Callithrix jacchus: one gene and its partner. Each later gene encodes a partner of the first gene's protein in a complex. Links are inferred from orthologs where the notes say so. Each region holds a gene or a part of one and is shown on either strand. Other genes may lie near its edges. The genes, in order: TUBGCP5 and TUBG2.

Region 1 (3,824 bases):
ATGGAGTTGCCATGTGTGATTTTGCTGAGTTTTGCCACTTTACTCTATGGGGAGGTACAAGTAAACAAATGTATACTCTTGTGAGCCATGTAGATGAATACCTGTTTCCTCACACTCTTGCCATCCGTGTGTTGTCAGACGTTTTGGTCCTCATCATTATAGATTATAGCAGATGTAAAGTGGTAACCCATGTAGCTTTTTACCCTTAACTTTTAGTTTGAAGTACCACAGAAAATAATACAGAGAGGTCCTGTGTTCCCATTACTTTACTTCCCCCGGTAGCAGAACCTCACATAGTTATAGTACATGATCAAAAGTGGGAAACTGACACTGGCGTGGCCCATTAGCCAAGCCGCAGACCTGACGCAGTTTCCCATTGTTGCAGGAACTTGCTTTGAGCAGGGGTGGGTGTAGTATCTTCGTGTATAGTTCCAGGCCGTTTTATCACATGTCTAGCTCCACATGGTGACTTCCATGTTGAGGTCCCAGCTGTGCCGTCGCCTCACAGGAGCTTGTGCAGCCCTCTCTAGGCACAGCTTCCTACACTAACATTGGCCCATGGGGAGGTGTTTTGTTTTACCTAGTATAATTTTAATTTGCATTCTTTTATTATAAGTAAGGTAGCTTGACTTTCTGTATGTTTTAGAACCCCTCATCTTCCCTTTTCTGTGAACTGTCAGTTTTTTTATATATTTTTCTGCTGAGTTACCTTTTTCTCCATGACTTGCAGGAGTTCTTCCTTAGGGAAGTTAGGTCCTTGTGATGTGCAATCAAAATCCACCATCCTTCATTTTCCCTGCCTGCCCATAAACCTGATGATTTGCCAGCATTTATGTCACATTTTACATGCATGTATTTTTCCTTGCTATTGAGTTTGATCTGTTGATATTTGCAGATGCTACAATAACTCTTGCAATAGTGGTGGACAAGCTGTCGCCTCGATTGGCTCAGCTCAAGGTTCTGCACAGAGTGTTTAGTACCGGAGTAGCAGAAGTTCCACCTGATACTCGAAATGTCGTCCGGGCCTCCCACCTGCTCAACACTCTGTACAAGGCCATCCTCGAATATGACAATGTTGGAGAGGCCTCTGAGCAAACCGTATGTGAGACTTCTGCCTAAAGTGCGTGACTCCATTCTGCACAGCACAGGGGTGGGAGACGGCTGGTCATGGTTCTGTGCTTAATGATACTGGAATGGTGACCTGTCGGACAGTTCAGAGTTGTCAAATTAGCTTCCAAATTTGAGGCTGTAAGAAACAACTTTTCAGCTCTAATTGCCAAGACCCTCAAAAGGATGAGGCGAGGGCAAAGCAGCATGTGAGACATGCCTCGCCGAGGTATATAGACGTACAATAACGCTTCCTTACATAAACACTAAGCCTGTTACAGGAAGTGTCTGACGTAGTCACATTCACAGAAACAGAGTGGAATGGTGGTTACCAAGGACTGGGGAGGAGGGAGCTGTTATTTAATGGGTACATAGTTTCAGTTATACGACATGAAAACGTTCCGGAGATTTGTCACAACAATGCGAATGTACTTAAAACCTCTGAACTTAAAAATGGCGAGGGCGGTGCACAGTGGCTCATGCCTATAGTCTCCACACTTCAGGAGGCCAAGGGAGGACTGCTTAAGCCCAGGAGTTTGAGACTTGCCTGGCCAATATAGTGAGACCCTGTCCTTAAAAAAAAATAAGTTAAATTAAAATTTAAAGAAGAAACAAATAGGTAAGATGATAACTTTTATGTTATATATTTTATATTGTATTTAAAAAATACAAATCTAGACCAGACACAGTGGCTCATGCCTGTAGTTCCAGCTACTTAGGAGTATGAGGTGAGAGGATCACTTGAGCCCAGGAATTTGAGACCAGCCTGGGCAGCATACTAAGACCCTGTCTCTACAAAAAATTTTAAAAGTAGCCAGGTGTGCTGACATCAGGAATTTGACACCAGCCTGGCCAACATGGTGAAACCCCATCTCTGCAAAAAATACTAAAATTAGCCGAGTATGGTGGCGATAACCTATAGTCCCAGCTACTCAGGAGGCTGAGACAGGAGAATCACTTGAACCCAAGAGGTTGCAGTGAGCTGAGATCATGCCACTATACTCCAGCCTGGGCGATAGAGTGATACTCTGTCTCAAAAAATTAGTGAGCTATGGAGTAGTAGCCATTCCTGTGGTTCCAGGTATTCAAGGGGCTGAGGCAGGAAGATTGCTTGAGTGTGGAAGGTTGAGGCTCTGGCGAGCCATGTTTGCACCACTGCACTTCAGCTTGGGTGACAGACTGAGCAAGACCCTGTATCAAACAATATATAGCTTTAAAAATCTATCTAGAGGCTGTAATTTAGAAAGCTACAGTTTTATTTGGGTATGTATATCAGGTGTATTTTCCAGTTTGTTGGTATAACTTTTTTTCTCACCAATTTAATACTGCATTTCAATATAAAAGAGATTGATTTTCTCTCAGCACTGCCATTTTTGTCTGAGAGCTACTGGAATTAAGTAATTTCCTCACTCTTAATAGACACCTCGCTAGTAGTACGATTTAGATAGGGAAACCTTGCTCACCTGCCAGGGCTGTCTCAGGTCACACCTGCCTCTGTGTCATTTTCACTCAAGTTTCCCAGTCTGGACTGCAAACAATATGATCCTTCCATACTTAGGTGAGTTTCTCATAAGGATTTTAAAGCATATGTTTTTGGATTTTTTAATTTCAAGGCGTTTCAGAAATGTTTAAACCTCCTTCTGTTCTAGTGGCCAGGGAGCCCTGAGAGCTGACCGTGCACAATCTCTGCCTCAGGTCTCCCTCCTGTTCTTTCTCTGGGTGGAAACGGTGCGGCCTTACCTGCAGACAGTGGATGAGTGGATCGTGCACGGGCACCTGTGGGACGGCGCCAGGGAGTTCATCATCCAGAGGTGAGCTGCACAGAGCACAAGGTCGGCTGGCGTCACCAGTTTGCTCCCCGTGAAAATCAAATCTTTCATTACGGTACTAAGAAAGTATAGTCCATATCACAAAACTTGTCGTCATCATAGGCTAGTTCTATTTCATTTTTATGGAAGACGTCAGTAATGCCAGCCGATTATTAATATCTTTGTCCAGGTTTTGTCAGTTCACAACTTTTTTTTTTTTTTTGAGACGGAGTTTAGCTCTTGTTACCCAGGCTGGAGTGCAATGGCGCAATCTCGGCTCACCGCAACCTCCGCCTCCTGGGTTCAGGCAATTCTCCTGCCTCAGCCTCCTGAGTAGCTGGGATTACAGGCACGCGCCACCACGCCCAGCTAATTTTTTGTATTTTTAGTAGAGACGGGGTTTCACCATGTTGACCAGGATGGTCTCGATCTCTTGACCTCGTGATCCACCCGCCTCTGCCTCCCAAAGTGCTGGGATTACAGGCTTGAGCAGTTCACAACTTTTAAGCAAATTATATTTTTGGATGATAGTGTATCTATGGCTGGCTACTGTACACTGCTTCCCATAAAATGAGTTTAGGTGATATCAGATGGTTTCCGCTATTTCCAGTGTAAAGTATCGGTAAAGACATACAGAAATACTATAGAATATGCCTCTAATACATTTATTGGTCAGAATTAGCTACTCATTTCTTTTACCTTACTATAATTTTTTTTACTATTCTCTGAAGTGAATTAATTCAACTAATACCTTACTATAATATTTAATAAAAATTAAGAAAAATCTTAATCCATTTATGGCAATTTCCCTTCAGTTATTTAATTTTTCTGAACAGAATCATATAAACTATAATTAGAGCTATTTGTAGTCTTTTAACACAATTTTAAATGATGTAGTGTATTTAGATG
Region 2 (2,572 bases), on another chromosome or scaffold:
CCTGAATACTCAGTCAAGATGGGATTCCTTTGTGTGTATTTCTAGGAGTTAACTATACTTTTCTGTTTTATATTTAGTGCACCTCCTTCCATACTAGACTGCAGACCTAATGAAGGGAAAGATGGTGCCTGTTCCTCTCTGTGGTCTTCCCAGAGCCAGGCAGTGTACGCACATGTGGATACTCATGTGTTTGTTTACTGCCCTGCATGGTCCGAGAGTATCTCATGATGCCCCAGAGACAGTACTTTTGTTTCTTTTTATTTTTTATATTTTTTATGGAGATGGCATCTTGCTGTGTTGTTTAGGCTGATGTCCAACTCCTGGCCTCAAGTGATCCTCCCACCTCAGCCTCCCAAAGGGCTGAGGTTATAGGTGTGAGCCACCATGCCCAGCAGTTTTTGTTTTAAACTAATAAACCTCTTCCTGGATCTGGAGTTCAGCAGGGGTTAAGCCAATATCTTATTTCTATGCCCATTTTCTCCTCAAGAAGCTGTGACCCTCTGCTGTCCCCGCAGGTGGTGCTGGACAACACAGCCCTGAACCGGATTGCCACAGACCGCCTGCACATCCAGAACCCGTCCTTCTCCCAGATCAACCAGCTGGTGGGCCCCCACTGCTGGACTCCTTTGGACTGGAAGCCCTCCTTTCTGGAGGGTCATCTGGGGAAGGGAGGTCCCACTCAGGCCGAGGCCTATGACATGGCACCCCTGTCCCCAGGTGTCCACCATCATGTCAGCCAGCACCACCACCCTGCGCTACCCCGGCTACATGAACAATGACCTCATCGGCCTCATCGCCTCACTTATCCCCACTCCGCGGCTCCACTTCCTCATGACCGGCTATACCCCGCTCACTACGGACCAGTCAGTAAGAGCAGCCTCAGTGTCCCAGGCCAGGCCAGCCCTGGGCCCCGCAGGCCCTACCTTAGCCTTTCTCTCCTCCTCTCTGCCCCAGAAGCTTTGCAGGCGACTTTCTTGTTGACTTGCTCTCTACCTCCCCTCTGCCTTTGGCTTCTGCCAAAGAGAAACCAAAAGGGGGACTGTGTCCTGAGCCCTGGCTGGGTCCCCGTTTCACTGTCCATCAGGTGGCCAGCGTGAGGAAGACCACGGTCCTGGATGTCATGAGGCGGCTCCTGCAGCCCAAGAATGTGATGGTGTCCACAGGCCGAGACCGCCAGACCAACCACTGCTACATCGCCATCCTCAACATCATCCAGGGAGAGGTGGATCCCACCCAGGTAGGGGAGGCCCCTTCATCCCATACCCTGGACCCACAGGGGTAGAGGAGAGGCCACTCCACTGCTCCTGTGCCTACCCCAGGTCCACAAGAGCCTGCAGAGGATCCGGGAACGGAAGTTGGCCAACTTCATCCCATGGGGGCCCGCCAGTATCCAGGTGGCCCTGTCGAGGAAGTCTCCGTACCTGCCCTCGGCCCACCGGGTCAGCGGGCTCATGATGGCCAACCACACCAGCATCTCCTCGGTGAGTCTGGGTTTCTGTTCTTAGGACAGTAGGACAGTCTGTTCCACTGGTCACCTTCATCATCTTCCCCAAGTTTGTTCCTAACCCCCGGCTCGCATTTTGGAGATTTTTGTCTCTTTCAGCTCTTTGAAAGTTCCTGCCAGCAGTTTGACAAACTGCGGAAACGGGATGCCTTCCTTGAGCAGTTCCGTAAGGAGGACATGTTCAAGGACAACTTTGACGAGATGGACAGGTCTAGGGAGGTTGTTCAGGAGCTCATTGATGAGTACCATGCCGCCACACAGCCAGACTACATCTCCTGGGGCACCCAGGAGCAGTGATTTCCCTCCCTACTACTCCTGGACGGGAAGCACAGCCTCAACCATGCCTGCACCCTCTGACCCAACTTCACCTCATGGACAACCCTTCTTGGCTTATCTCCAGCGCATGAGCTGGTCCTGCTTCTTCTCTCCATGCCCTGACTCTTGATATGCTTCTTCAGCTCTACTAAAGTAATAAAGCTTGGTTGTCAGTATAGCCAGGGCTTGATCTGTGAATACAGGGGGTGGTGAAGGGGTCCAGTTTCTAGGCATCTGACATAGGGTGGCCTTCACCTCCTCCATCGTCTTACCCCTTAGTCCAGATTTTAGTGTGTTCACTTTCCACTGGCCTCCCTCACCTTGAACTGGGCTGTTTTACTAGAGGCAGCCCTAAGATTACAGAGCTTTACTGAGGTCTGCTGTCTCCTCAGTACCTAAGCCTTTGCCCCAGGGAAGGTCAGTGTTGCCCCAGCCTCTTCCACTCAGGGCAGAGGAGGTGGGGTCTCTGTCTCCTCAGTGCCTAAGCTTTTGCCCCAGTGAAGGTCAGTGTTGCCCCAGCCTCTTCCACTCAGGGCAGAGGAGGTGGGGTCTACTGAAGGAGGGCACACTGCATTCCGAGCAGGCCAGGAGAGCCGGGACTCTGGAATCCCAGTGCCCAGAGCCATGAGAGTCCCAGGAACTCACTCTAGTTCAACCCAACCTGGTAAGTAGAAGCAGAATTCAAGAGTGGGGCTGAGCACATCCTGAGTTACTTTTCTGTGCCAGAGAAATTCGTGGGTTTGTTATCTGCCC

What was found.
Region 2: TUBGCP5 (region 1) and TUBG2 share a complex: the UniProt entries of both Homo sapiens proteins name them as parts of the gamma-tubulin ring complex. The link is inferred for Callithrix jacchus from reciprocal best matches to the Homo sapiens genes TUBGCP5 and TUBG2.

Annotation. Positions count from the first base shown.
Region 1 is NC_133507.1:1,837,778-1,841,601, forward strand, and holds part of TUBGCP5 (gamma-tubulin complex component 5), read left to right. Parts: intron 1-895; coding exon 896-1,098; intron 1,099-2,621; coding exon 2,622-2,665; intron 2,666-2,756; coding exon 2,757-2,918; intron 2,919-3,824. UniProt on the Homo sapiens protein: Component of the gamma-tubulin ring complex (gTuRC) which mediates microtubule nucleation.
Region 2 is NC_133506.1:121,223,398-121,225,969, reverse strand, and holds the end of TUBG2 (tubulin gamma-2 chain), read left to right. Parts: intron 1-515; coding exon 516-602; intron 603-717; coding exon 718-867; intron 868-1,084; coding exon 1,085-1,237; intron 1,238-1,319; coding exon 1,320-1,481; intron 1,482-1,603; coding exon 1,604-1,801; 3' UTR 1,802-1,997; downstream 1,998-2,572. UniProt on the Homo sapiens protein: Tubulin is the major constituent of microtubules, protein filaments consisting of alpha- and beta-tubulin heterodimers. Gamma-tubulin is a key component of the gamma-tubulin ring complex (gTuRC) which mediates microtubule nucleation.